7 linked regions of the Sus scrofa genome follow. The protein of the gene in region 7 interacts with the protein of the main gene of each other region in a biochemical or structural test. Links are inferred from orthologs where the notes say so. Each region holds a gene or a part of one and is shown on either strand. Other genes may lie near its edges.

Evidence for each region.
Region 1: the proteins of SLC9A3R2 (region 7) and PODXL form a complex in vitro, tested with the Homo sapiens proteins (3 studies listed by BioGRID and IntAct, with this or other methods). The link is inferred for Sus scrofa from reciprocal best matches to the Homo sapiens genes NHERF2 and PODXL.
Region 2: the proteins of SLC9A3R2 (region 7) and ABCC4 form a complex in vitro, tested with the Homo sapiens proteins (2 studies listed by BioGRID and IntAct, with this or other methods). The link is inferred for Sus scrofa from reciprocal best matches to the Homo sapiens genes NHERF2 and ABCC4.
Region 3: the proteins of SLC9A3R2 (region 7) and RPS6KA1 interact in a test that uses a peptide from one of them, tested with the Homo sapiens proteins (2 studies listed by BioGRID and IntAct). The link is inferred for Sus scrofa from reciprocal best matches to the Homo sapiens genes NHERF2 and RPS6KA1.
Region 4: the proteins of SLC9A3R2 (region 7) and TBC1D10A form a complex in vitro, tested with the Homo sapiens proteins (2 studies listed by IntAct, with this or other methods). The link is inferred for Sus scrofa from reciprocal best matches to the Homo sapiens genes NHERF2 and TBC1D10A.
Region 5: the proteins of SLC9A3R2 (region 7) and SLC26A3 form a complex in vitro, tested with the Homo sapiens proteins (2 studies listed by BioGRID and IntAct, with this or other methods). The link is inferred for Sus scrofa from reciprocal best matches to the Homo sapiens genes NHERF2 and SLC26A3.
Region 6: the proteins of SLC9A3R2 (region 7) and SLC9A3 form a complex in vitro, tested with the Homo sapiens proteins (2 studies listed by BioGRID and IntAct, with this or other methods). The link is inferred for Sus scrofa from reciprocal best matches to the Homo sapiens genes NHERF2 and SLC9A3.

The regions. Positions count from the first base shown.
Region 1 is NC_010460.4:17,488,979-17,492,207, reverse strand, and holds part of PODXL (podocalyxin), read right to left. Parts: coding exon 3,204-3,229; intron 1,874-3,203; coding exon 1,676-1,873; 3' UTR 1-1,675. UniProt on the Homo sapiens protein: Involved in the regulation of both adhesion and cell morphology and cancer progression. Functions as an anti-adhesive molecule that maintains an open filtration pathway between neighboring foot processes in the podocyte by charge repulsion.
Region 2 is NC_010453.5:64,306,819-64,311,304, forward strand, and holds the start of ABCC4 (multidrug resistance-associated protein 4), read right to left. Parts: upstream 3,014-4,486; 5' UTR 2,455-3,013; coding exon 2,381-2,454; intron 1-2,380. UniProt on the Homo sapiens protein: ATP-dependent transporter of the ATP-binding cassette (ABC) family that actively extrudes physiological compounds and xenobiotics from cells.
Region 3 is NC_010448.4:83,933,800-83,937,694, reverse strand, and holds part of RPS6KA1 (ribosomal protein S6 kinase alpha-1), read right to left. Parts: intron 3,736-3,895; coding exon 3,610-3,735; intron 3,391-3,609; coding exon 3,301-3,390; intron 2,752-3,300; coding exon 2,593-2,751; intron 1-2,592. UniProt on the Homo sapiens protein: Serine/threonine-protein kinase that acts downstream of ERK (MAPK1/ERK2 and MAPK3/ERK1) signaling and mediates mitogenic and stress-induced activation of the transcription factors CREB1, ETV1/ER81 and NR4A1/NUR77, regulates translation through RPS6 and EIF4B phosphorylation, and mediates cellular proliferation, survival, and differentiation by modulating mTOR signaling and repressing pro-apoptotic function of BAD and DAPK1.
Region 4 is NC_010456.5:47,298,448-47,302,885, forward strand, and holds the start of TBC1D10A (TBC1 domain family member 10A), read right to left. Parts: upstream 3,094-4,438; 5' UTR 3,006-3,093; coding exon 2,797-3,005; intron 1-2,796.
Region 5 is NC_010451.4:107,508,461-107,512,355, forward strand, and holds part of SLC26A3 (chloride anion exchanger), read right to left. Parts: intron 2,245-3,895; 5' UTR 2,161-2,244; coding exon 2,030-2,160; intron 1,541-2,029; coding exon 1,401-1,540; intron 197-1,400; coding exon 86-196; intron 1-85. UniProt on the Homo sapiens protein: Mediates chloride-bicarbonate exchange with a chloride bicarbonate stoichiometry of 2:1 in the intestinal epithelia. Plays a role in the chloride and bicarbonate homeostasis during sperm epididymal maturation and capacitation.
Region 6 is NC_010458.4:79,624,035-79,628,541, reverse strand, and holds the start of SLC9A3 (sodium/hydrogen exchanger 3), read right to left. Parts: upstream 2,988-4,507; 5' UTR 2,933-2,987; coding exon 2,716-2,932; intron 1-2,715. UniProt on the Homo sapiens protein: Plasma membrane Na(+)/H(+) antiporter. Exchanges intracellular H(+) ions for extracellular Na(+) in 1:1 stoichiometry, playing a key role in salt and fluid absorption and pH homeostasis.
Region 7 is NC_010445.4:39,949,711-39,954,164, forward strand, and holds the start of SLC9A3R2 (Na(+)/H(+) exchange regulatory cofactor NHE-RF2), read right to left. Parts: upstream 3,115-4,454; 5' UTR 2,982-3,114; coding exon 2,769-2,981; intron 1,632-2,768; exon of another isoform or gene 1,448-1,631; coding exon of another isoform or gene 1,430-1,447; intron 500-1,429; coding exon 299-499; intron 1-298.

The sequences.
Region 1 (3,229 bases), on a different chromosome or scaffold from region 7:
CTGCAGCCTGGCCCTGCCTCTACGTACAGGGGGTCCAGCTTCTTTGCCCTGAAGGGACCACTTTCATTCTCCTAAGCAGTTGTGCCTATCTTCCTGGTTGGCTGCAGGGACTTTATCCCCAGGGACAATAGAGAGCATGGGCAAAACAGAATTCCATGCAGGACCCTCTTCTCAAAAAAACCCAAGGAAGCCTCCCTCTGCCCAGTCCTCAGCCCACTGCGCTTCCTCAAGCCCCTCCCCTGGGCAGCAGTCGGCATTACGTTTCCCTGAGATGCCCCCAGAACCTGCGGAAGCACTGGCAGCCAGCCTTGCTAGGAACACAGAGAAGGGGACCCAGCCAGGCCCAGCTCTGCACCCGGACAGAGAGAGGTGGCCGGGAACAGAAAGCCGGGCTGGGGCTGCCCCTCGTGCACCTTGAAGGGCACCTGGCGTTCTAGGCCTTTCTTGCCTGTGCACAGAAGCCTGGAATCTAACTGAAAAGGTCCCAGTGATTTGAGCTTTGGCCTTGGGAGGTGGAGAGCCAGATTCAAAGATCAACGAAAAAAGAAAACAAAACTCTCAGCAGCTTGCCAAGCCCCTAAGTTTCCAAAGAAACAGAGTAAGTAAAGCCTGTCCTTCCTGCTGTTTCAATCGATTGTCTATTTCAGACACATCTCAGCTGCCGGGGCCCCATGAAGCTCTGTCCTTAAGCTGCTGGATCTCAGAGGCTGCGAGCTGGAGCCCCCACCCCATCGCAGGGGCCAAGCAGTGACAACGAAATAGGAACACCTTGCCTTCGGTAGCTGCTGCTGCTTTTGGTGCCCGGTGGGAAGAGGAGGCCTCAAGGAGCGCCTCGGGGGGTGGCCAGGGGACCCATCCTGGGAGGAAGGGGTCCCCCTGTAGGTGGGTGCCTGGGCACACTTGTCCACACTGAGTCCTGTGTGCGTTTGGTCCCAATCTCTGAAGAAATGCCAGGAAATGAGACTCCAGAGCAAGGACAGCAAGGTCACGAGTGACCTGTGTTAGTGCCAGGGGCCCTGGGACGGCGTGGGAATTAAAACTGAGTCAAGGGAGCGGGGACAACAAAGAGGACGGCACACTGGCGGGGGGTGACAGGAGACAGACGACGGGACACACTGGCGGGTGCTGACAGGAGACAGACGACGGGGCCTAGGCTTTGAAGTAATCAGATGCCACCGAGACGAGCCTGCCCTGCTCTCCCCTCCAGCCCATCAGCTCTGGAGGGTGGGCGTTGGGTCGCCACAGCAGCGCAGTGTGCTGGGAACGGGCACCGGGCTGAAGGGAGGAAGCTCTGTTCTCATCCTGACGCTGTCACCCAGGGGCTGGGTGACCTCGACTTTACCCTCTTTGGGCCTCGGTCGCCTGTCTGTGAAATGAAGGAATTCTACCAGGGGGTCTCCAAAGTCCCTCATACGGCTCTTGCCTGACCTCCCAGCGGCACTGAACTCAGGCACTAGTGGGTTATTTTACAAGAAGGTTCTACACAGAAGGTGAATTGTTCAGCTTGAAAAGGGAAAAATTAAGGCCTATGGGGATGGGGAGGCCTGCGAGTCCGCCCGCCCTCCCTCCCCAGTCTTTCCCTCCAAGGGGAAGGATTTTCCTCCCTTGTCCAAACGGCACTTGAGGTGGTTCAGCTGGAGCCCTGTGCGCTGTCGGAGGCCGCCGGCAGACCTGATTAGAGGTGTGTGTCTTCCTCCTCCTCCAGGTCATCCTTGGTCAGGTTGTCCAGAGGGACGATCCAGCTGTCCCCCAGCTCCCCATTGAGGTTGGCCACCTTCTTCTCCTGCATCTCTGATGAGGTCTCCATCACTTCCAGTGTTGGGTTGTCATGGTAACCGTTCTCCACTGTCTGTAGCTCTTCTGTTAGCCGTTGCTGGGGCGAAGGAGATGACCCAAGAAAAAGAGAGTCACTCTTGAGGGCTGGTAGCCTGACTATCGTCTCCACCTTACACCTGTACCCCCCGAATTTAGGAACCTCCATTTGACTAATGTGAGCAACAGGTGCTCCTGGAGGCCATCCTGACTACTGGCCTGCCTTGGGGCTCTTTGAGCTAAGAACTTGCCCAGCATCCTCAAATTCCTAGCTCACCTCCCTTTGCCCTGGTGGCAAATCCATCAAGTCCATGGAGATGAGCTTTTGTTCTTCTTGACTCCCTGGTCCACGTTCTTCCCCTCCTCCAATCCCGTCCCTCCATTCCTCCCCCCAAACTCGTCCTCACCCCCAGTGCTGAGCTGGGACAAATTGGAAGGAGGTGATGTTGATCAGGACCTCTCAAAGGCTGAGCGAGGTGGGGAGAGGAGCACCTGCAGCCATCTCCAGAACCCCGGGGAGAACGCTTTCTCTCTGTCTTTACCCAAGATACAGCCCGGGGTGAACGGGGCCGTCCCTGGGGAAGCTTTTCACAAATCTACTGATCCAGAAATTCTTTTTCTTTTTTTTTTTTTTTTTTTTGGTTTTTAGGGCCACACCCACAGCATAGAGGTTCCCAGCCTAGGGGTCCAATTGGAGCTATAGCTGCCTGCCTACACCACAGCCACGGCAAAGCCAGATCCGAGCCGTATCTGCGACCCACACCATAGCTCAAAACAAAGCCAGATGCCCAACCCACAGAGCGAGACCAGGGATCGAACCCGCAACCTCATGGTTCCTAGTCAGATTCATGTCTGCTGCGCCACAGTGGGAACTCCCAGAGATTCTTTTCAACTGATGTGTGAGGAAGTTAAGCATGGGGATATTTTTTTAAGCTCCCCACAGTGTGCAGCCTGGGTTGAGAACCATGGGCCTGTATGGAACTGCCATGGAGGAATTCTAGAAGGTGGAGGGAACAACGCTTGGTTAGACAGCTACGCCTAGGCTCATTTCTATCAGCGGTGCCTCAGAGCAACTCTGCAGGGTAGATACTGGCCCCACTAAGCAGATGAGAAATCTGAGGCTCAGAGGTCGTACGACGTGCTCAAGGTCACCCAGATGACAGGAGGCAGAGCCCGGGCTTAGGCCAAGTCTTCTTGACTCCCTGGTCCACGTTCTTCCCCTCCACCACGCTGCCTCCAACATTCCAGGCAAGTTTCCATTCCTACGAGGGGCGACCTCTGCCTGTCAGAAAGGGACCGCAGCCCCCTGGCTTTCCTCAAACATGGGAGTAACGGGGTGAGAGTCCTCCGGTGAACCGGGCTGCTTCCTGGCTGGGGGACGAGGGCCTCACCTGGTCCTTCCTCTGGGAGAGGCGCT
Region 2 (4,486 bases), on a different chromosome or scaffold from region 7:
GACTCCCCTTAGCCCTTAAGTGCCAACTATTATGAAAACAAATGACATTTAAGAAAAAATGCTAATACCCAATAAGAAGCTGGAACACCATTTGGCATTTCACCAGTTCCAATTATCTTACTTTTGGGAATATAAAAAAAAGGGGGAAGATATAGTAAAATACACAGTCGTGGATATGGATCATATCATAATTAGAAATAAACAGTGTTAAAAATGAAAGATTGCATAAATTACCATTAAATACCCGGTTTTAAACATAAATAAACACTAACCATAAAAAATTAAGGATTCAAGATTCAAAACTATTTAGTTTTATAGAAACGATGTGTGAGCAGAAGAGTGCATAAAGATTTCTAGGGAAAAGACTGAAAAACAACCAAAATAGCATCAAATGTACTTGGCTAACAGAAATAAATCCTTGGGGAGTTCCTGTTGCAGCTCAGTGGTAGCGAAACCGACTAGTATCCATGAGGACCTGGGCTTGATCCCTGGCCTTGCTCAGTGGGTTAAGGATCTAGCATGGCCAGGAGCTGTGGTGTAGGTCGCAGATGCGGCTCGGATCTGGGGTTGCTGTGGCTGTGGTGTATGTAGGTCGCTGACACAGCTTGGATCCCATGTTGCTGTGGCTGCGGTGTAGGCTGGCAGCTGCAGCTGCAAGTCAGCCCCCTAGTCTGGGAACCTCCATAGGCTGAGAATGCGGCCCTTAAAAAAAAAATTGCTCCTGCTGCTGCAGTAGGAAAACTGGACACAGGTGCCTAACAAAATCAGACAAGTCCTCACCTATCCCATTTACAGACACATACATTTTGAAAATCCACAAACAGAAGATGCTCTGAGAATTCCTTGCCCTGCCAGAAGTTACAGTAACCACACCCATAAGCCTAGGCTCTACTTTACTCAAGGGCCACCAAATGGCCAAGAGATGTAGCTACACACACTGAATACACCTCCAGCAAAACAAGCTTCCAACCCTTGGGGACCCTCTGCTAGGCCGGCCCATTAAAAAGGAAATTATCAGAGTATGGATTAGGGGCCAGAAACAAAAGATCTCATAATGACCCAAGTGTGATTAAAGGCCAAAGGTTCAGGCCCACCTAGTTAAGTAGTCCTAGCTACTAGATAAAAACTTTTAGTTAAAGCTTCACCAGAGTTCAGTAGCGGCTCAGCGATTAACATCCAAGAGGTTGCTGGTTCAATCCCTGGCCTTGCTCAGTGGGTTACGGATCTGGCATTGCGGTGAGCTGTGGTGTAGGTCGAAGAAACAGCTCAGATCCCGAATTGCTGTGGCTCTGGCATAGGCCTGAGGCTACAGCTTCTACTGGACCCCTAGCCTGGGAACCTCCATGTGCCGCAGGTGCGACCCTAAAAAAAAGGAAAAGAACTTCACCTCTGTAAGCTGTTTTTCATCAGGGTTTGCTCCCAGCTCAGGACGCTTCAGTGGATTTAGGACCAAATGATTCCTGGGCCGGACCATCAGCACTGTCAGACCATGCACTGCTTCTCTGAAGGCTAGAGACCTGGATAAGACCCCACAGGCCTCAGGGACCCCATCCCCAGAGTGGTCCTCAAAAGGGGAAGTAGAAATATTTGCAATAGGAAAGAGGCTAGCCAAGTTCATTCTCCAGTGCTGGCTGTGCCTCCGGGGCCAAAGCAAAACGTGCCCAAGAGCAGTGTGCCCCAGTAATTAAAAAATAGTGTAGTTTTTTCACCCACATGTAATTTGCCACAACTAGGTACCAAGATAGTGAGAGACGCACACGGAGAGGGAGGGAGCGAGACACAGTCACAAAAACACAGACAGAGGGAGCTCAGTGCAGTTTGGTACGCAGCTGTCATCTAAGAATACAGAAAAAGGTGGGGACATTGGAAGACGGCAACTGGTCCAGGGCACTAAATAGATAAAGGAAGCTGTTCATAAGATGCTTGCTTAGGGGGGAAAGGGTGCAGCTTTAGCTCAGAACTTCGAACTCCTTAGCAATACTGGGGAAGCCGGCTACACAGAGTAGGGAGTGGAGAGGGGGCGCAGCGCGTTCTCCTGCTGGGTGTAGATTCCCACTGGGCAGCCCAGGTTCTCCGCCTCTCCCCCTCCTGCTCCAGCTGCTCCCCCTGCTCCTCCTCCTACGGGCTGGCGAAACAGCGAGAGGAAAGGCAGGGACACCCGGCGGCCCCGCCACCAGGGCCTCCTCCCCCGCCCTGCTCCTCCGCCCCCGCGCGCCCAGGCTCAGGTGGGGACCACGCGACCCGCGTGGGGCCGCCCCATTGTCGGCGGGAAGCCGGGCGGCCTGGGCACCGGCGGGAAGCTCTTGCTCGCCCCAACCCTCTGTTCCCGAAAGGCGCCGGCGCGGCGGCGGCGGTGTCACAGCTCAGGCGGGGCGCTCACCAGAACAACACGCGCGAGCAGACGTTCGCGTCCCGAAGCGGGTTGGGCTTCACCTCCGGGTACACCGGCAGCATCCTGACGGCCAAGACGGGTGCGGGCCGGGGTCGCACAGCTCCCGCGGCGGTGCCGCTCACGCTGCTCCCGGAAGGGTTGGCGGAGATGCTGGACCTCTGGCTGGCCCGGGGGTCCGCCTGCAGGAGCCCAAGAATCACTCGCTTCCGGGAGTGGAACGCCTGCGGCCCGCCTCCCAGGCCGCGCCGCCTCCCGGGTCCGCCTCGGGGCCGCCAGCTACGCGCCGCTGCAGGATCTGCCGGGAGCCGGGTGCAGCGGACGCGTGCGAGCGGCGAGACAAAGGGGTGACTCGGCTGCCGCCGTCCGCAGCTTGGTGAAGGGGCGAGGCGAGGCCGAAGGTGCCGTTGGATGGAAGCGGGTAGACCTACCACGCGACACAGTCTGTCTCCGAGCCGAGACACCCACGTGCTCGCACCTGGCTGCAAGCTCAGCCTCAGTTCTTGCTCCCAGCCCAGGCACCCACCCAGAAGAGGTGGAGAGGGAGAGGCGTGGTATTTGCCCGCCCCTGCAGTTCAGAAACGCCCCCTCGGCTGCAGCTTTCCGAAGACCCAGAGAAGGCCGGCTGTAGGCATTAGCAGTCCGCCCTCTGGGCACCCTGCCCTCCTCACGACCAAACTAGGGTGCTATGGGAGGTTCTCCATCCTGCGGCTAAACATTTGACCTGGGACAACGGCTGGATTTAGCACAGATGTGTTTGTAACGCTGCAAGACCTAAAGATATGTAACAGAGAATTAGAAGAACTCAAAAAATTTTGGAAGACGAATGCACGCTTCCAAAGGGCTTTTGAGATCTCACATTACTGCATGGTGCGGGGGGGACCTCTGTAAGCTTTTTGCTGCCCTTTTAGATTGGGAAAGGGGAATATGGCGAGAGACTGCCTTATGATTTCTTTCATCATGTGCTCAAAACCTAGTGGAGTAACAGTGGTACATTTTATAAAACACCGGTTATAGGCACTTCTGGGGACCTGACTGCACTTTTCACTCTAACGATGCCCTAATAAAGAAGGTATTACTATCCCTGTTTTACAGATGAGAAAGATAAGGCTCAAGGACAGAACTTGTCCAAGGCTTGAAAATCAATAAACAGGAGTTCCTGCTGTGGCACAAGGGTATGGGAGATGTCTCTGTGGCATGTGGACACAGGGTTCATCCCTCCCCTGGCACAGTGGGTTAATGGATCTGGCCACCCAGCTGCAGCTCAGATCTGACCCCTGGCCCAGGAACTCCATATGCTTCGGGCTGGCCAAATAAAAATAACATAAAATAAAATAAAATCAGTAAATAATGAATTCTGATTTGGACCAAGTGAAAGTCCAGCATGGTCTCAACCGGTAGGTGGACAGTGTGCATGAAAAGTGCCTAGAATATGCTGTTTGGATGAATGAATGACTGCAGGTCTGAATGAACCAAATCTTGGGTATCTTCTCTTCCCTTCCACTCTAAATGAAGAAAGCTCAAAGTTCTTTGTGTTTACAATGATAACATCTTTTTTATTCTTTTTGAGTATTTCAATGTACCTTGACTAAAATACTGTTATTACTTTTTTTGCTGTACCCGGTAGCATGTAGAAATTTCCAGTTGGGGACCGAACCTGCACCGTAACAGTGACCTGATCCACAGCACTGACGTTGTCAGGATCCTTAACCCACAGAGACATGTGGAAACTCTTAAAATAGTGTTATTAATAATGGCTTTTTTCATCGAGAACTATGTCTAGATACTTATGTTGCAACAGAAGAAAGGGTGGGGGAAAAACTGTAATTGCAATGTATACATGTAAGGATAACCTGACCCCCTTGCTGTACAGTGGGAAAATAAAAAAAATAAAAAATAAAAAAATAAAAAAATTTTTTCACCACTGGAAAAATAATAAAATAATAATAATAATGGCTTTTTTTTTTTTTTTTAGGGCTGCACCATGGCACATGGAAGTTCCTGGGCTAGAGGTCAAATCGGAGCTGCAGCTACCAGCATATGCTGCAGCCACAGCAACATGGGATCTAAGTTGAGTCATCAGTCACAGCTTCTGGC
Region 3 (3,895 bases), on a different chromosome or scaffold from region 7:
GTTGGGTTCCTAACTGGCTGAGTCACAAGAGGAACTCTTACCTTGATTTTATGAGACTTCAGGGATATAACAAGTGAATGAAAGATGTGGACACTGCAGAGACTGCGATTCCAATACACCAAGCCCAGAAAAATTATATTTGAAAGGACAAAGAGGAGAAATGTGCTACTGACTGGGTACTATGTGAAAACAAGTAATTGCTAACTTTGTTAGTTATAAAAGAAATGTTTGTCTTTTTTTGAGAGTTATACAACTAAGATGATGTGAAGGCTGAAATACGTTTTTAAATACTTTAATTATAGGTTTTTATGGGTCAAGTGGCATAATATCTGCAACTGTCTTTCAAATGTACCCACAGATAAACATATATACTTGTATACAGAAACAAAGAGAGACAGAGAAAGAAAGAGATGAAGCAAATGTGGTGACTCTTAAGATTTGGGGAATACAAAAGGGAAATGTCGGGGGTTCCCGTCATGGCTCAGTGGTAACAAACCCGACTAGGACCCATGAGGATGTGGGTTCGAACCTTGGCCTCACTCAGTGGGTTAAGGACACGGCATTGCTGTGAACTATGGCGCAGGTCGCAGACTCAGCTTGGATCCCACGTTGGCGTGGCTGATTCGCCCCCTAGCCTGGTTACTCCTATATGCCACAGGGGCAGCCCTAAAAATAAACAAACAGAAGGGAAATGTTTTTCGTTGTACTATTCCTTTGACTTTTCTATAGGTTTGAGCTTTTTTCTCAACAAAAAGTTGGAAAAAATATTTCGGCAACAATAAAAAAAAGAAACAGAGGAAAGAGAGAGAAGGAAAGGGAAAGAGGAAGGAAGAAAAGAGGGAGAGACAGAGAGGAGATAAAAATCTGGACAATTCTTCAATCTGGTGTCTGGGGGTTAGGGTTATTATTCCCGTAGTTTCTGTATATGTTTGAAAGGTTTTTTTTTTGTTTGTTTGTTTGTTTTTCATGGCCGCACCTGCAGCATGTGGAAGTTCCCGGGCTAGGGGTCAAGTTGAAGCTGCAGCTGCCAGCCTACACCACAGCCATGGCAACACTGGATCTGAGCTGCAATGCCAGATCCTTAACCCACTGAGAAAGGCGGGGGATCGAACTGCATCCTCACAGACATTCTGTCGGGTTCTTAACCCGCTAAGCCACAATGGGAACTCCCTGTTTGAAAGTTTCCATACTAATAAGATAATGCTAAAAAAAAAAAAAACAAGGCAGAGTTCCCATCATGGCTCAGCGGGTTAAGAACCTAACTAATGTCCACGAGGATGCAAGGTTCGATGTGGCTCGGATCCGGTGTGGCTATGGCTGTGGTGTAGGCCAGCAGCTGCAGCTCTGATTTGACCCCTAGCCTGGGAACTTCCATGTGCCGCAGGTGCAGCCCTAAAAAGAGGGGGAAAAGAAAAGGTATAGGAATGATCTGGTTCTATTTCCCCCTGTGTTTACTTGGCCTTTTCCCAGGGGCCTGGGCTGGATCGTGGCTCATCCCTCAGCCACCCTGGGAGGGGGCAGCTCTCCTTATAGTGAGTTTGCAGATGAGGAAATGGCTCGGGTAAGAGGCTTTTCAACCTCACACACAGGACTTGTCACAGCCAGTCTGATTCCAGAGCCTGCATCCTTAACCCCCACATTAAAATATTATCTCATCCATGGAGAAGCTCATGCAGACTCTGTTTTCGGCTTCAATACCCTACAAAGACCTTTCCTAATTCCACCTTGTACAATGATAACAGCCAAGCCCTGCAGTTTGGACCTACAACTTCCTAGCACCTGCTGTCTTTCCAGGAGCATCGCCTCCTCTGTCCTAACAGCCAAACCCATGGCCAGATTTACCTTCCTGATGCCTGGCAGCTCCTACAGTGACCTCGGTGCTTCCTAACTCAAAAGCCCACTCCTGGAGTTCCCGTCGTGGTACAGCAGAAATGAATCCAACTAGGAACCATGAGGTTGGGAGTTCGATCCCTGGCCTCACTCAGTGGGTTAAGGATGTGGCGTTGCCGTGAGCTGTGGTGGAGGTCACAGATGCGGCTTGGATCTGGCACTGCTGTGGCTGTGGTGTAGGCCGGCGGCTACAGCTCCAATTAGACCCCTAGCCTGGGAACCTCCATATGCCATGGGTGAGGCCAGAAAAAGACCAAAAAAAAAACCAACCAAAAAAACCCACTCCCTATCTGTAGCCTCCCACCCAAATTCCTCAGTCAGACATCCTGGCTCCACTCTTCCCAGGCTGTGTGACCTTGGGCAAATGAACTCACATCTCTGAGCCACAGCCTTTTTACCTAAAAAGTGAGACCAATATACAGTACCTACCTAACAGGTAAAAATCAATTAAGGAAAGAACTAAGCATGATGCTTGCCTAGGACCTGAATAAATGTTTCTTTCTGTAATCCGGCCTCATCTCTCCTCCCTTCCCTCCCTTCCTTCCATCCACCCTCTCACCCACTCACCCATCCCCAGGCTTCCCTCTGTCTGGCTGGTTGAAAACTGCCACTGGCTGGGCCAGCCACGGTTCCTGCACTCTGCTGGTGGTATGACCCCTGGCAGCCCCCCACGCCCATGCGGTGCCCCTGCCTAAGACTTACTCCCTGGGAGTGCAGATATTCCACGGTCTTGCTGATGGTGTGCAGGACGAAGCTGGCCTCACGCTCCGAGAAGAATTTCTGCCGCAGGATCTTGTCCAACAGCTCTCCTCCCCGCATAAGCTCTGTCACCAGGTACACGTGTTTGCCATCATCGTACACCTGTCAGAGACCTCATCATCAGGCCCCTCCTGCGATGCCAGGACTGGGCCCTTTGGTCACCAGCTCACCAGGCCAGGAAGCCTTGGGCATTGTTCCACTCTGTGTCTCAGTCACCCTGGCAGGGTCTTTCTCCATCTGAGCCCCGTCCTCCCTGGACAGGATGCTGGCACTGGGCCCCTGACAGGTAGGAGGGCTCTCAGAGAATGCCTGGGTCCAGGTGGAGGGCTCAGGGGCACGAAGGGACCTTGTTACCCGTGGCATGTCAGACATGGACATGCCATTGTTATTCGGCTCATAACTGTCTCCAAATGTTAGTTATTATGGACCCAGTTCATAAACAACAAGGTCCTACTGGACAGCACGGGGAACTATATTCACTATCCTGTAATAAGCCATAGGGAGGAGTTCCCTGGTGGCTTAGCGGGTTAAGGATCTGGCATTGTCCGTGAGCAGAGGAGGAGGATCAGAAATCAAAGGAACAGCGGCCCCGAGGCCAGTCCTAGAGTCAAGTGCCCCATCCTCACCCCACTCTCAAGGACCCCCACTCACATCTTTCAAGGTGATGATGTTGGGGTGCTGTCCGTACCGCAGAAGAATCTCAATCTCTTCCGAGGGATCTCGCTTGCTCTTGTCAATGACCTGAGGAAAGGGGGGTGCATGTGGCAGTGTCGGGGGACAGACCCCAGAGCCCCTGCCTGCCTCAGAGCCCTGGCTGCAGAGAATGGAGTCTCAGCCGCATACCTTTCGCCCATCCAGAGCCTTCCATGCCAACCCTCCCCCACCACAGGGCCAGGGCGACACTGCCCCCACCTCCACCCCAGCGAGCAGCCCTGGCCGGGATGTGTTCAAGAGGCCCACCTTGACAGCATACTCCATGTTGGTGGCCTTGTGGACGCAGCGCTTGCACTCGGAGTAGGAGCCTACACCAATGGTCTCTTTTACCACGTAGCCATCACTAAAAACCAGGTTCTTCCCGTGTAGTTGCTGCAGGAGACCGGGCCGGGGGAGAGGGGGAATAACCCTCTGCTCAAGAATGCAGAGCTCATCCCTGAGAACCCAAGGCCTCAACTCAGTGGAGGTGGCACTAGGCAAGAGCCAGCAGGCCCAGGGTAGAATGTTAGCTGTGTGACTTTGGGCATGAACC
Region 4 (4,438 bases), on a different chromosome or scaffold from region 7:
AACAGAAATTCCCCATGCTTAAGCAAGGTTTTCTCTTCTCTGGGCCTGAGTTCCCTCATCTCTATAAATTACAGTTAAGCTGGTCAATCTCTTAAGATCCCTTTTAGCTTAAAGGGTCTATGATTTTATGACCTACTCAGGCCAGGCACCGAACACTCAACTGAGTGGGGTAGCTTCTGATTTGCATTCTTTCCCATCCCCCCAGCTCCTGGCAACTGCCAAAACTTATCATCTTGAGACAACCTTTGGCCTAGAATGGCTAAAATGGACCTTTAATCTGGAGCCAGAGTCCCCACCATCTCTGCTGCAGCCATCAGTGCTAATGTTTCACTTTTCTGGGACAGCACTTGGGCCCCACTAGCCCTCAACCACGAGACTGGATTCAGCACAACCACTCTGAAACTTCTCATAACTTCCCCTCTTATGGCCTTGGGCAGAGACTTACTTTTGACTTTTTTTGAACCACAATATAAACTAAACAGGGAACATCCCAGGCCTTCAGATACCAGAGATTTTAGGTTAGCCAACAGAGTCAAGAAAGTGAGACAGGGAGAGAGGAAGGGACCTGGAATCCCACCTCAGCCCCAGCAGTATAGACACCAAGGATGCAGAGGGTGTCTGCAAAGCCTGGGTTTGTGGTTGGAGGGTGGGGAAGACAGATGTCTGGCTGCTTGGTTGGGGACTACAGCCAAAGGGAGGTCCTCCCCTGGGGCCTTTCTCTTTCTACAAATACCAGAGATACATGCTCACTTTCTCCTCAATTTCCAGATCTTTTGAAGGAAAAGGAAACTAACATTTTTTCTGGGCCACTACTTGAGCCAGGTACTGTGCTAGGCACCTTTGAATACTTTATCTCATTTAATCCCCACAGTAATCTTGGGAGTAGGTGATACTGTTACCCTTTACAGTGAGTAAACATGCTCAGAGATTCAGGATCTTACCCATGGTCACACAGCCAGTAAGTGTGACTTCTTGCTAAATTTGGCCTTTTTCCACTATATCACCCTGCTCTGTACCCTGAGATGTGATTAAGTGCCTGATAAGCATGGTAGGAATTCTTACCTCCCAGAATTCACCAGCAAATCTGAGCTCTTCCCTCCAAGCACCCACAAATGCAACTGTGAACTCCTTTCCCACTTTTTTAGACCTCATCCCTCCCAGGACCCTGAGCCCTTGTATCTGCTCCTCATTTCAAAAATATATTCCAATTCACCTTTGGGTTCTCTCATTCCAATCCCTAGGGAACTGTGACAAAGCTTTGAGTCAGGGTGAGGGATCAGAATAAGGGGTGCTCTCTGAGTCCTGGAATGGACAAGGCTTAGCTTGCTGTGAGTAAATGGAAAGAGGCTGGAGGACACAGTCCAGTGAGTAAAAGAGAACTCTCCTTAGAGGAGGGGAGAGGCCTGCATTTCTCTCTACCTCTCCAAATGAGAAAGAGGCCTGCTGAATATGAGGATTTGGACTAGGGAAAAATCCCAGAAGTGACCTTTATGGGACTGTTTGTGTGGGGTTGAAATCTTACACATGATCAAGGCCCTTCCATAAGTCATAACAGAGGCTGGAGAAGCTTGGGCAGTCACAAATGGTGAGAGAAGGGGAGGAAGGACCCTCTGGAGTAGGGTCATGGCTGAGTCCTGTGGGCTCCCACAAGTGATTGTATGGGGCTCTCTGTTGAAGAGGAGGCCCATTGCAAGGGAGATTTGTCAATTTTGTGCACAACATTGGTCTCATGTGACAGGACAGGAGGATGGGAGTGGGATCAAGAGTCCATCCTTCCTAAAGGGATCACCAACCCATACATATGATCTCTGTGAGGACTAGGCTCAAGGAGTTCTATGTGGCTGCTCAATTTACCCCACTTAAAGGGAAGGTGCTGCTTCCCTGCCCCACATTTCTCTGCCTGCCAGCTGGGTGCCTGGGTACAGGGGATCTGGGTGTGCTAAGAGCCTGGACCCTGCTGTCTCCTGCTGCTGCCCCCCCAACCCCAGTCTGTGTTTGGAGAGGAGGTGCATGTTTCCACACCATCCACAAAGACAGTCTATTCTGAAGATGAGGTACCATCACCTTGTGGGTACTGGAAAGGGGGAGTGTCTGCCCACCTGTTGCTAATGACAGGGAGAAATCTGCCTCTGAGGGGAGAGGGGAACACGCTCTGCTCTGACCCTTCCATGAGGGGAAGGGACTGTCTGTCCCAAAGAAGGAGGGAACTGACAAATATCAGTCTATTCAGAGGTCTGTGTGTCTTGAGGTGAGGGTCAGTCTGTCCTGGAATGTAGTGTGGGCAGAGAAGTCTGTCCCTCTGAAGTCTGCCTAAGGTATACCCCTGATATGAGGGTAGTGGGCTGCTAAAACAAGGGCATCTGCGGGTCGGGGGCGGGGCGGGGGGGCATGGAGAACATCGGCCTGTTGGGGGAAGGGCGGCCACCTGTGAGCCTGCCCAGGGTGGCAAAGTCAATCAACCCTAAGGCGAGGGTGGTAGTGATGGGGTTGGGACAGGTGTCAATCTGTCCGCAGTTGTGAGGAGAGCCCTTCCTGGGGGCGGGTCAGTCTGTCTGGAGGTGCGAGCAGGAGAGGTGAGGTTGGCCTGCGTGTCCCAGGCTCCAAAGTAGGCTCCAGGGTGAAAGCGGGTCAATCCGCCTGGGGGGAGGTGGGGGTGGGGCAAGGGAGATAAGGGTCGCTGGTTCCTGGTTGAGACACGTCGGTCCTTCCTGAGAGCGGCTCGGTCCGCGTCGAGGCCCTCCTCTCAGGTCCCGCGCCCGCCCCCGGCCCCGGGCCCCGGCCCCCAGCCATACTCACGCGCCCTCGGCGCCTTGCGAGCCCACGATGAAGCCGAACTTGTCGATGCGGCGCTCAGCGAAGCCGTTGGCCTCTGAGTCCGAGCCGAGAGAGCTGAGTTCATCGGCCGTTGCGGCGTCGGGGCCCGGGGCCAGGCTCTCTCGGGTCCCCGACAGGCTCCCCCTGGCTGCGGAAGCGCGCGGCCCGTTTTCTCCGCTGCTCTTCGCCATCCCGGCCGCGCCCGCTGCCTCAGCTTCAGCGGCCACCTCAGCCACCTCAGCCGCCTCAGCCGCCCGACTGCCGCCGACGCCCCGCCCACGTGCCGCGCCCATTGGTCGCAGCAAATCCGGGGGCGGGGCCCTAGGCCTTCCCCGGCGTTCCCTCCCCTCCACACCCAATGGGCGCCGTGGACCCCCAGGGCCCGCCCACCTCCCCCAGGCTGGCGCCAACCGGCCCGACGTGAGGGGGCGGGGCAGCCGTCTCCCGAAGCCCTTCCCCCCTGGGCTGCCAATCACGAGAGCTCACCTGAAAGAGCTCCTCTGGCCTTTCCGGGTTAGCCGCGACCCAGCCAGTCACCTGCAGCGCGGTGCCAGCTGAGGCCGAAGTCGTCCGTTGGGAATTCCGCATCTGCCTTCCAAGCACCCCCCACCCCCGCGAGACCCCAGGGACGTGAGTGAGGATTGCTTCACCCATTCGAGAAGCTCCGAGGAGACCCGCGGTGGTTCTGGGATTCTCCCAGCGACTCTCAGCGACTTAAAACCTAGGCCGAGCTGAAGTTCAGCAGTCCCCCACCCCAACTGCTTCTGGGGCTTTAAGTTAGGGAGACTGGGAGTTCCCTGATTAAGGATCTGGCGGGTTAAGGAACTGGCGTTGTCGCTGCTGTAGCGATCCCTGGCCCAGGAAATTTTGTTTGCCGCGGCCAGACCAAAAACAAACAAACAAACAAACAAACAAAAAAATAGGGAGACCTAGTTAATAAGAATAATGACCATTGTCTATTGAGCCACTCACTGCCCCAAGTTCTACCTACTATCTTTTGTAATTTGTATTTTTCCATCAGCCTTGAGAAAAATCACCTGTTTAAAGAGTATAATTCAATGTTTTAAGCATATTTATAAAGCTGTGCAACCATCACCATAATCTAACTTTAGAACATTTTCATCACCCCAAAAAGAAATTCCTATCCAGGGGTTTCTGTCTTGGCTCACCAGTTAACAAACTCAACTAGGATCCATGAGGATTTTATCCCTGGCCTCCTTCAGTGGGTTAAGGGATATCAACTCACAGAGTCATAATGATAGCTCCTCACTTAAGTACAGGTGAGCTGTGGTAAAGACTGCACACACGGCTCGAATTCTGCATTGCTGTGACCTATGCTGGCAGCTGTAACTCCAATTCAATCCCTAGCCTGGGAACTTCCATATGCCATGGGTTAGACATAAAGCAATTCCTATCCATTAGCAGTCAGTCACTCCCCATCCTTCCTCCCCCACTCCCTGGCAACTGCTAATTGTCTCCAAAGTTCTGTTTTTTTCTGGACATTTCATATAAATGAAATCATATGTATGTGGGCTTTGTGTCTGGCTTCTATCACCCCACATGTTTTCAAGAGTCATCCATGTTGTAGTATGTATCAATTCTTCATTCCTTTTCAAAGCCAAAA
Region 5 (3,895 bases), on a different chromosome or scaffold from region 7:
AATTTGGAATTGAAACAGCATGTGTCTAATGGCATGCAGAGAGAAAAAGCAATGCGAGTATTAATTAGCCTCATAATACACTTACCCACAGATATGTGTCTAGAAGTGCCCAAGAAAAAGTAGATTATGACTGGGAAAAAGGCTGCATACAACCCATAGCCTGGGGGGACGGTGACCAGCAGAGCAAACGCTAGACCTGTGAATATACAAGCATCAATGTCCTTATTTCATGCACAGACGTTTTCATTAGGTTCTTCAAGTATTTAAGATGGCACCTGAGCAATTATTAACTTCAATGTATCAAAAATGTAAATGTAAGAGCTAAAACTATAAAACTCTTGGGAGAAAACTTGGATGGAAACTTTTGTGACCTTGGATTAGGTAATAGTTTCTTAGAAGTGACACCTATAGTATAAGCAGCCAAATCAAAAACAGATGCATTGCGCTCCATCAAAATGTAAAAATGTGTGCTTCGAAGGATACTATTCAAAAAAAAAATTAAATAACCCACAGAGAGGGAGAAATTATTTGAAGATCATAGCTTGGATAAGGGTCTAGTATCCAGAATATATAAATAAATTTTGCAACTCAACAATGAGATACATAACCTAATTTTAAAATGTGCAAAAGATTTAAATAGACATTTCTCCAAAGATGTACAGATGGTCAGTAAGCACATGAAACAATGCTCAACAGCATTAGTCATTAGGGGGATGCAAATCAAAATCAACATGAGATGCCATTTCATACGCACTAGGATAACTAAAATAACAAAGGCAGACAATAACAAGCGTTCATGAGGACATGGAGAAATGCAAACCCTCACCATTGCTAATGGGTTATTATATGACAGCAATTATACGTCTAGGTATAAACCCAAGAGAACTGAAACATAGGTTCACACAAAAATGTGTGTACAAGTGTTCCTAACAGTATTATTCATAATAGCCACAGGGTGGAAAGAATCCAAAGGTCCATCAAGCAATGAATCGACAAACAAAATAGTCTATCTATTCCTTAGAATATTATTCAGTCACGAAAAGGAACGAAGTACCCATATGTTATGGATGACCCTTGCAAACATTCTGCTAAGTGAAAGAAACCAGACACAGTAGACCACATATGATTCTGTTTGCATAATATGCCCAGGATAGGCAAATCCATTGAGAAAGAAAGTTGTTACTAGGGGGAATGGATGGAGGGGTGAGGGGGCTGGGGTGGGAAGTGATTGCTAATGAGCAAGAGATTTGGGGGGTGGTTACAGTGAAAATATCTTGGAATTAGACAATGGTGATAGTTCCATAACCTTGTGACTATACCCCCAAACACTGAATTGTACACATCAAAAGGATGAATTTTTGATTCATGAATTACATCTCAAAAAAAAAAAAAAAAGTTACCTTGCAGCACAGCCACCATCCCTGTGCTGATTCCAGAAACAATATCACTGAGTAGCCATTCCTTTATGCGGTATGCTGGCAACCAAGATGCTATGGGGAACGAAGAAAGGGCAATTCTCTTGGCCTTTTGTGTGGAACAGCTGAAAACATTGAAAGCCACAAGTCAGTTAATTACTATCCAATTTTAAGTTCAGGGTCTAATTGTAGATGGAACATTGATAAAGCTAATCATAAATGATCATTTCACTAGCTTCCCAATACCATTCACCTCCTTACCCATAGCCGCTGCTCCCCAGCCATCACCAATGGTTTTTTTTTTTTTTTAAGAAAATTGTCCCTTCTCTTTAGCCGTAAGAGAACTTATTTGCCCTCCCCAGCTTGCACTGGACCACAGTTTGTTGGAGAATTCTCCTCTGTCCTCATCTGTCAGTCCTCTGAGGTGGAAGGATGGTGTGCATTGCAGACACTACCTTCCCAGCCCTGGCAGAGAGGGAGAGGTTTGGAAATCAAAGGTAAAAAGACTCTGGAGACTGTGGGCTACAGCTAGAAAGGAGAGCTTGGAAGCTTAAACAGTTCAGAAATGGTGCTTCCTTTACCCCTACTGCCCGTACCTTAAAAAAATGTCTTACCTGCAACACTGTTTGAGATGATCCAGAAAAGTCTTATGACGTCTCTGTTTCTTCTTATGCTCTTCCCCGAAAGCGTTTGCAGAATACACTGGCCTGGCCACCACATACTGATTCCCGATGGCTTCGATCATTTTGCTTTCTCTGACGGCTGTGGCGAGTGGAAGACCTTTGGAACTGTGTGGCAAACCCTTCTTGCCTTTAGCAGGTTAAAATGCCTGAAACCAAACAGAGCTTGCTTCTTAAATAACTCGGAGATAATGTGATGCAATTTACAGATGAGTGAGCTCTGCACTGAATGTTACCACCTTTTGAGATCAAAAGAGGCTGGATTAAGGGACCTAGATTGTGTTTTGTGACAGTGATATCGCTTTTTACCCCGATGCTCTGGACACAGCTCTGTTGGGTAAGTAAACAAGGGCTTTGATTTATTTTGAAAAGGCTGCCAAAAGCAATAGAAATTGACTCAGTTTACTAATGAGTGAATGAATGCATTTGTGACTTGTAAAGTGAGATCTCAAGAAAGGAAATTACTTAAGAAATTTTTTTCAGCAATGTTTCCTAAGTTATGGCATCGGAGTCCTGGGACAGATTAAAGTCTAGTCATTGTCCCTAACTCTAAGTGAGGCTGTTCCATTTTACCCATCAGAATTTCTATGACACCTTATAAAATGCTTTTAATTTGTCAGATTCAAGGATATTGCACATTTCTTATTGTTTCTGGGAATTAAATGGATTTTTTTTTCTCTTTCTTTCTTTCTTTTTTTGCCATAGCGTGCAGCAGCAATTTGATGGCGCATCTCAGTTCCCAGACTGACGATCAAGCCTGGACCAAAATGGTGAAAGTACTGGGTCCTATCCACTAGACCACCAGGGAGCTCCCAAATGGAATTTGATAATTTAAAGTTGAGAAAAGTGTAGCACAAAGTAAGTATCACTTTGTTACTTACTTCACTAGTGATGGGATTTTTTAAAGGAAATATATTGGGCAATTTACTTAACTTTTTTTTTTTTTTTTTTGTCTTATTGCCATTTCTTGGGCCGCTCCCGTGGCATATGGAGGTTCCCAGGCTAGGGGTGGAATTGGAGCTGTAGCCACCGGCCTATGCCAGAGCCACAGCAATGCGGGATCCGAGTCGTGTCTGCAACCTACACCACAGCTCACGGCAACACCGGATCGTTAACCCACTGAGCAAGGGCAGGGACCGAACCCTCAACCTCATGGTTCCTAGTCGGATTCGTTAACCACTGGGCCACGACGGGAACTCCTACTTAAACTTTTTAAGCTTCATCTATATGCCTATAAAAATAATACTCAGATTTCAAGGTGATTGTGAAAATTAAATGAGAATTTTTTTTCCCCCTTTACCTGTGGCACCTGTGTGGCATATGGAAGTTCCCAGGCCAGGGGTTGAATTAGTTGGCTGTGGCCTATGCCACAGCCACTGCAACACTGGATCAGAGGAGAACCTGTGCCCTTATCCAAGGGCAAGGTTTGGGATTGAACCTTCATCCTCACAGAAACAATGTCAGGTCCTTAACCCTCTGAGCCACAACAGGAACTCCCAAATGCAAATGTTTTCAAGGCATCTAGCATTGCTTCAAAGCGTCTTGCACACTATAGGCATTCAGTAAATGGTAGTTATTATTCTGACTATTTGCATTTTCTGTACAAGATGTTTACTTTTTTTGTTCTTATCTCAATCCTATTTTATTACAATTAAAAGATCAATTTTGCAAAACCTTTTACGCACATTACCTATTTAGCCCACACAATTCATACAGCGAGTACCGTGTCCAAAATGCAACATCTGCTTTGAGGCTTTGCTATTGCTTCTACCACAGGCAGCTTTTCTGTTGTCCAGTGTG
Region 6 (4,507 bases), on a different chromosome or scaffold from region 7:
AATAGCCAAGGATATGGGATAGGTTCCCCAGCAGTCAGGCAAACGCAAACAAAACCAGAACAAGATACCATAGAGTGTCTGAAATGCCAAAATAACACCTGGCTGCCGGGATCTGGAACGTGGGAATCAGCAGCGGGTGGGTGGGACCCCCGTCAGGCGCTTCCTACCCACGGCTGTGCAAGTTCTCAGCAGAATCCTTGCACCTGTGCGGCAGGGGTGGCCCCATCTAGATGAGCCCGTCCCCCGGGGCAGATGCCACTGTGTCCCCCAGACCAAGCGCAAGGCTGCAGTGGCAGCTGCCTTTGGCTGAGGCAGGGCCTCCCCACCGTGGCCTGGAGGTGACACGTCACACAAGCGAGAGGGCATCCGTGTGAGCCTTTCTGAGCCTGTCGTCCAAAGAGTCGTGCTCCCACACAGACACGCGACGCTCCGGTCCTGCAGCGTCTGAAGCCTCCCAGGTGAGCCTGCGAACTGGAGGATTTCCCGACTGTCCCCCCACCTTCTACCCCATCACCAGGGGCGGGGGAGGGCTGGCCTGGGCTGGCCTGCACCCCCCCTCCAGCTCCTGGGGATGGAGAGGCCGCATGTCCCGCTCCCGCAGCCGAGCCCCACCTCCTCCTGCCTGGACTCCTCCGGACAACCCCCCTCTGTGCCCATCACAAGAAGCCTGCCTCCCGGACTCTCCTCCTGGCCCCACCGGGGGCCTGCAAGGCCCTGCTCACCACCCGCAAATTTTTCCCCTGACTCTGGGCCCCCTTTGCCAAAAACCCAGGTCATCTGAGGTCATCACCCTTCCCAGGTCGTTTCCCCTCATTTCCCGAGGATTTTCGCTCCCGGATGCATGTTATTCTTGCCGTTTAAGCCCTGCTGGCGTTTACCCGTGTGGAGCCACACGGAGGCCCACCAGCCCCCGCCCCCAGGAGCCCCAGCCTCTGCCCACACCTGGCCCTCAGTGCCCAGGCCTCAGCCTACACTGGCCCTCCCCGCCCCGCCCCCTGGTCCAAGCCCGATGGCACGCTTCCTGCTCCCGACACCCACCGGCAGGGCCTCCGGGCCATAGGCCGCTGCCCGGGGCCTGCACTCTCCCTGCCGCTCCAGGACCTGCTGGCACCCCCGCGCCCGCCCGTCCCCAGCACCCCGCCCAGCTGCCCCCACAGCAGGGCCCTGTCAACACACAGACGAGCTGTGTGTCCTGCTTCCTTGCAAGACAAACCTTCTACCAGAACCCCCAACTCTGGTCCTCGCCCCCCCAAGACAGGGCTGCTGCCCCCAAGCCTCTCCTCCTTGCTCAGGAGGAAGGGGCAGGCTGCACCCTGGGTGACCCACTCCCGCCTCAGCCCAGCCCAGGGACCCAGCCGGGCCGCCCGCCCAGCACAGGCTCGTCTGCGTTCACGGTTGCCCGAGCGTCCATCACGCTGGCCAGCAGTTTCCTCCTGAGCTATGGGCCAGTGGTCAGCCCTCCTCTGTCCGGTCCACTCCTGCTCCCATCTGGGCAGCTACAGCCACTGCTGGACACCTGCCACCCAGCCCAGACATGGCAGCACCTCGTGGACACCCTGCTCCAGGCTCTGGCCCCATTTCTGCACACCCCATTTCCCACCACGGAGAGACGTGGCTCCAGCCCCTGCCCACGGCTGAGACCCGGGCTGCTCAGTCCCCTGCCGGCCTCAGGGGACATTCAGCAAAGTGCAGCCCTCCCAGGCTCCCACTGGGAACCCAGGGTGCGGCTTCCTCTGCCGCAGCAGCACAGGGGCGCAGGTGCACTGTGCCTGGCTGGGGACACTGGCACTGCGCAGGGGTGTCTTCAGCCAGCACAGGGCTTCTCCTTCTCTTCCCCAGTGGCCTCCGCGCTCTGGGACAAGGCTGCCCGAGGGCAGAGGTTCCACCCACAGGAAGGGCACGAGGCGACCAGCGGCCCGCGGGCTGGGAGGGGTCCTCGCCAGCCTCGCTCCTGGATGACACCCCACGTAGACAGCGGCACCCCAGGGGGTATCCTGGCCGCATCGACTCTCGACAACGAGGTCAGGGAGCCGGACATAATGGAACATAAAGGACACGATGGTCTTTCTTGTCTTAACTGATCGTGCTGGGTGGTCAGTTCTTCGTTTAATTTGACACCATAGCCCCAGAGCTCGCCCGTCCTCAGAGCTGAACGCCCTGTTCTGTGCAATTTTACCAAGAGGCTACCTGCTTTGTAGGGATAAATCCTCACCCGTTCAGACCCTGCCAGTTTACTTCTGGGAGAACTTGAGGGCAGTGACATTCCTCTTTTCATACTTGGAATAAAGAAAGTGGTGAGCCCAACCAGGACGGGCCAGGAGCTGCCGGCTCGCGAGGGAGCAGCCCCCTCCCCGGGTGCTGAGCCGACACGGGGGCCCCGCCACTGCCGGGGCTCTGCCGCAGCCGGGACAGAGCCGTGTGCTCAGATGGGCTATGTGCCCTCAGGGGCCCCCAAAGGCCCCCCCTCACTTACCTGAGCCCAGGTGACCCCAAAGGCGCCTCGGGTCCCCAGCTCAGCTCCCCCCATCCCCCCTGCCTTAGGCCTCAGGCAGGTGCAGTCTCAGGCGGGGAGGGGGCTGAGTGACCTTGGGGTCCGCCTGTTGTTCCAGAAGAGAGCTGACACATGGACCACTGGGCACGAGGAGTCATGAACCAGAACCAGAACCAGCCATACACTCTGGACCAGAGGGGACCCAACGCGACGCAGGCGCTTACCCAGGAGGGCTGACAGGGCCACGAGTGTCCACAGCGTGAGGAGGAAGGGGACCCGCACGGACAGCCACGGCAAGCTGGCCCCCGGGACCCCGCTGCTGTTCCGGGGGGTCATGGGTGCCAGACCCGGGTCCCAGCTGGCAAGTGCCCAGGGGTACACGGTGCCCGCCAGCCAGGCCAGCAGCACCAAGGCGCACAGGCCAGAGCCCTGCGCCCGCATGCTGGACGGGAGGCGCTGTGCTCCTCGCCAGGTGCCGAGTGTCCCCTGGGGTTTCTGCAGCCAGATCCTCCTTGTCTACGCAGGGAGCTACTCACTTCCTTCCGGCCAACTCGTCCTAAAGCTGAGCTGGCTCCCACGCCCCTTTGGTGACCACAAGCCCAGCCCTGCCCCGTGCAGCCCTGATGGCCGGTCGTCTCCAGATAAGCTCCGGGCACCCTCTGGTCCTCTTTCTGGCCAGCGGGCTGTTCCCAGGGGCTGGCTCTCTTCCCACGGGCATTCAAAGCCTTGGCAGGGAGGTTGCCTACCTCCCTGAGCCTTGAGATAAGGGGCCGGCCCGCCCCTCAGGAGATTAGTTCTCCTGTCACACAAAATAGAAGCCATGAAGGAACGGGGTTTAATTGGTGCTTAATCAGGTGTTCCAGTCTCTGCTTGGGGGCTCTGCCCAGGGATGGGAACGTGCAGAAGGGCTTCAGGCCCGTGACACTGTGGCTCCCACCCCGGTCTGTGGCCAGGCTTGCATCTCACAAAGCCCCCCCACCCCTTAGGGCCCCTGGAGGGCATGGGGGGTGTCCTGTGCTCCTGCCAAGCCCTTCCCTCCAAGTTAGGCTCAGGCTCCTCAGCCTCCTCGCAGCTGAAACCACCCACTCTTCCCCCCCGCTCACCTGTGCCCACAGGTGAGGGCCCCGACCAGAGGCGGTGGGGGGCAGAATGTGCCGCACGGTCAGGCCTGGGCACGCCTGGCAGATGCGGGGCGGGGCTCGAAGGTCTGGCACGTGGTGTTGGGACCCGAGTGGGTGAGGGGCGTCGGAGCCAGGTGTGATGAAGAGGCTGCCATGGGGGCTGCGAGGGGATTGGGGGTGCGAGGGGATTGGTTCCCTGAAGGGCTTGGATCAAGTACCTCAGTGGGTTAGGACAATGGGGCTCAGTTACTGTCAGGAAAGTGAACAAAGGGGGCGGATGGGGGGACGGGTGGGGCTTTGGGACTGGCGCATGCCCACTGGCGTCTACGGAACGACTGGCCCACCTGCCGTCCAGCACCGAGAAGTCTACCCAGTGTTCTGGGACCGTCTACGCGGGAAAAGAACCTGAGAGAGAAGAGGATGTGAACCGGGATCCCTTTGCTGTGCAGCAGAAATGGTCACAAGCTTGTCAACCGACCAGACGTCCGCGGAACTTTAAAAAGAAGAAACGAGAAAGAAAACAAAAGGAGCCAAGTTAAAAAATAAAATGCAGGAGTTCCCGTCGTGGCGCAGTGGTTAACGAATCCGACGAGGAACCATGAGGTTGCGGGTTCGGTCCCTGCCCTTGCTCAGTGGGTTAACGATCCGGTGTTGCCATGAGCTGTGGTGTAGGTCGCAGATGCGGCTCGGATCCCGCGTTGCTGTGGCTCTGGCGTAGGCCGGTGGCTACAGCTCCAATTCGACCCCTAGCCTGGGAACCTCCATATGCCGTGGGAGCGGCCCAAGAAATAGCAACAACAACAACAAAAAGACAAAAGACAAAAATAAATAAATAAATAAAATAAAATGCAAAGGAGCTAAAATCTTAAGAGCGACAGCAACGAAGTCCGATGTG
Region 7 (4,454 bases):
CCCCAGGTTCCTCAGCCCCAAGGCCGGGGAGGGGGCGGCTGGTCAAAGGGACCCTTCCAAGGACAAGGGGCTCCGATGACGAGCCTCCTGGGGGCCAGGGACCAGGTCCAGGCTGCCCAGAGCCCATGCGGTTTAGAACACAGGCCGAGGACAGAAAGAGTGGCTCCAAGTGGCCGAGAGAGTGGCCACCAGGGGTCCAGGAGGGGTCCAGAGACGCACACTGGTGGAGACGACCAGAGGCGCCGAGAAGGCGGTCCTGGGAGAGGCCAGGTGATCCCTGTGGGCAGAGGCGCCGTACCTTCTGGCCGGCCTCACCGCTGAGGCTGCCTGCGGGCGCCCAGTCCGCCTTCGGCTCCCAGGGGTCAAGGGCAGGCGGCAGCCCTCGCTGGGCCATCTCCTCGGTGCAAGTCAGCTGGCGCCTGCGGAGCTCCTCGTCCGTCTCCTTGTCCACAACGAGCAGCCGCGTCTGGCCCTCCACAGCCTTGATCCGCTGCACCACCTGCGACGGGCAGGAGGCGGGAGCCGGTCACGGCCAGCACCCCAGGCAGCACATGGATAGCAGCACCCCGGGGGCAGGCCTTGAGCCTCCCGGGCCAGGTGGGCGGCTGGACCGCAAGGCCCGCAGCTCCTCCCCCCACCCCCAGCTCCGGCGGCTCCCGCCCTCCTCTCCCGGGGCTGCCGAAGCGGGCCGGGCTCCAAGGGCTGCAGGGGCTGCGGGGGCCTCGCCTGGGCGCAGGCTCTTCTCTGGGGAGGGGCCGGGAAGGGACAATCGCGGGGCTCGGCTAAGCCTCGGCTTCCCCGTCTGCACGTCTGGGTTTGCGGGGGGGGGGCGGGGGGAAGGGTCTCCCTGGGTCCCAGGCTCGGTGTGTCTGTGCCTGGCTGCCTCCCCCGGTGGAAGAACCTGCGTCTAAGCCTTCCATTCTCTTTCAGACCGTGATCATGGGCCTCTTCCTGCTGGACCTGCAGAGGGAACACCTAGGTGCTTGTGGCAAAACACCTCCTCAGGCGCCCGCACGCAACCCAGGAAGCGGGACTCAGACGCGGCAGGCAGAGCTAGGGAGGAGCAGGTCCACCTGTGGGCCAGGCGTGCTCACGCAGGTGTCTGGGAAGCATCTAGAACATGTGCACGGCCATGGAGCCTTCATGCCTGTGTGTGCCCGCAGGAGAAGCAGTGCCCACTGGGCACTGGGTAGGAAGAGCAACACCCCCACGCCCACCCCAAGGCCCGGACGACAGACAGGGCCCGCACCAGCCTCTCAGTAGATGGCAACAGAGCAAAGGGTCCGAGCCAGGCCCACCTTTGCCCCGGCCCCCTCTGTATCTCTCTCCCCCTGTGACCCTCAGCGTCACAGGACCCCAGCAGCCCGATGCTGCCTGACAGTGGGACCCAGGTGAGTCACCCAGTATCTGCAACTGTCGGTTTGCTCGCCTGCAGAACGGGAGCCATGATGGTACCTCCTCTCCCCCAGGGCAGTGGGAAGGTCTCCCCGTGGTCCCGCGTGTGAAGTCCTTGGAGACCACACCCAGGGAGGCCTGGGGTGAGCCTCGCTCTTGGAGAAGACGGCAGCTGATGTCAAACAGAGGCCAGGCGCCAGCTGCGCGGGGCCCGCCCCCTGGCCTGTCAATCCCAGACCTCGGCCCCGACCCCCACACCCCCGGCAGCAAAGAGCCTCATCCTGCCAACACTCGGGGTAAAGAACAGGCCGGCAGACAGATGGGCAGACAAAAGCTCCAGAAGAGAAGCGGTTCGGCTCCCAGCCCAGCCAAGAGCCAATTTACACATCTCCAGGCCCCAGGGCCGGCCACATAGACAGGTGCTGGGGGACGCGGGGATCCTGAGCAGAAGGGGTGGAGGAGGACAGGACCCAAGCCAGGTGATCCCAGGTCAGTGGGCGGCAGACACCCCCCAGGGATCAGAACCTGAGGAGAACCTCCCCCTCTGGCCTTTCCCCTCAGCTGCAGGAGGCCGGGGGGTACAGCCAGTGACGCCCCCCACACACACCCCCACCCCCCACCAGGCTGCCCAGCAGCTTCTTAGGACAGGAATGTGCTGCCACCAGCAGCGACGCCCACCAGGACCCAGACACCAACCGTCAGGACACACACTAGTACACCAGCAGGCAGACACCCGGGCCAAGACAGATACACACAACCCAGGTCAGGCACCCCACCACACACACACACATCTAAGCAGTGCAGACCTGTATACTCACGTGCACACAGTCCAGCACACACACACACACACACTTAACTGATGCAGACACACACAAGTGTGCCCTCACCGCGACACCCCGCACGGTACACACAAGGGTGATCCCCAGAGGGACCTGCACATTCACACGCATACCCATAGTGCACGCGCGCGTGTGTCCCCACTGACAGAGAAGCGCCGGGGACCCCAGGCACACGGAGACCCCCGAGGCACCAACTCCTGCACAGACTGTACGGAGGCCGGACAAGACTCAAGAGCCAGGGCCAGAACCGGAGGAGCCGCCGCATTGCGGGCCCCTCCCTGCCAGGATCCCCCCCACCTCCGCGGTGCGGAACCGACGGGGGCGGGGGGAGGCCAGGAAGGAGGCGCTGCCTCGGTGGCCACGTCCCCCGCCTGTCCCCGGGAGCCCACGTAGGCCCTTGTGCGACCCCTCCTGGCCCCGGCGGGGGAGCCGAGGCGCGGGCGCAGGCGGCCCGGTGGTCCCTGGCGCCGTCCGCGCGCGCGCGGGGCAGGGACGCGCTCCGGGGATGGGGGGCGGCGGGGCGCAGGCACCCACCTGGTGGTGCGTCTCGCCCTCCACGTTGACGCCGTTGACCTCGACCAGGCGGTCCCCGGCGCGCAGCGCGGCCGCCTCGGCCGGGGAACCCGGCTCCACGCGCCGAATGAACTGCCCGCGGCGGCCCTTCTCGCCGTGCAGGTGGAAGCCGTAGCCGTGCTCGCCGCGCACCAGGAGGCACAGGCGCGGCCGCAGCGGCTCCGGGGCAGCCATGGCGCCTGCTGCCCACCGGCCGGCCGCGGGCTGGCCACGGCGCTCACGCCCGCCGCGGGCAGGCGGGGGCGCTGGGGCGGGCGCGGGAGCGGCGCGGGAGACCCTGCGGCGGCCTCGGCGGCTCCCGCTCGGTTCCCGTCGGCTCCGGCTCCGGCTCCGGATCTGGCTGCGGCGCCGCCCCCGCGCCCGCCCTTTCCCCGCCCCCTCTGCCCTGCCGCCCCCGCCCCGGGTCCAAGCCACCCCGGCCATCCCCCTGCCTCGGCGCTCCGCCCGCGCCGCGAGGCCCCAGGAGGGGCCGCAGGGCCAGGGACCCCCCCCAGTCCTTCTCTGTCTCGCCCCCCTTCGGTCAGCCTCCTTGGGGCCAGCCGCCTCCCTCTGTCTGTCCAGAGGCTGCCTTCGTGGCCTGTGACTGGCCCCCCTGCACCCCACCTAGTACTGCCACCCCTGCAGGTTGTGGGGGTGGGTGTGGAGTGGAAGCCGCCACATACCACCCCAGATGGGGCTCAGGGATCACCCCATAGCAGCCAGAACCACCCAGGACCTGCCAGGCTACAGCTTTGAGGCCACACCAGAGTTGAGAGGGTGGTGGCCGGAGGTGGTCCGGAGACCCCCAGACCAAGGGGTAGGGAAGGCAGGTACCCCTGGCCGCTTGGCTCAGGAAGCTTAGTGACCTCGTCCCCTTCTGTAGACCTGCCTCCTGCAGCCCAGCACTCAGCCCGTGAGTGCCGGTGGCCAGGAACAGAACACCGCTGTAAGGCGGGTAACTAAGTGACATGGTCACAGCCAGGGGCCAGGAACACCACACCCCAGAATAACAAAGGAGGCCCGAAAGCACCAAAGGAGCCGAAGGAGTACCGAGAGAGGCTCTCCGTCTAGAGTAACAGAACATCCAAGGAACGAGGGGGGCGGGGAGCAAGGAAGTGGGTAACAGCAGGGGCCAGCTGAGACCTGCGGGTGGCAGTTCCAGAGTGGGAAGAGAAGGAGTGAGGGGGACGGAAAACAGAGGGCCTGAGTAACAGAGCTGAAGAAAGGTGGCCCAGCAGCTCTCGGGGCAAAGCCTCCCAGGCCTCCTCCCTCAGCTCCACGGGCAGGGGTGTGGGAGGAGAAGGCAAGGTGGCAAAGCCGGGAGCACGCATGCAAGGTGTCAGGGCTGGAAGCTTTTGGGTGGCTGGGAATGAGCGAGGGGAGGTGAGTGGTGAGGCCGGCAGCAGCCAGGAAGGCGGTCAGGTGGCAGGAGATCAGAGGTCTGGCCGCTGGCCCTGGCCCAGAGAGAGCGGAGGTATGTCAGACCTTCCAGGCCCTCTCTCCCCTGGGTCCACCTGGGGTGGCGTTGTCCTGAGCTCCAGTTTCACCTGAGGGGGTTTCCTCTGACCTTTGAACCGACCTCCTTGTGGCAATGCCCTCAGCCATGGGGCAGAGGCAGAGCCTGGGCCTGGGTGTGTGACCGTGGGGAGAGGCCTCGTCATTGCCAAA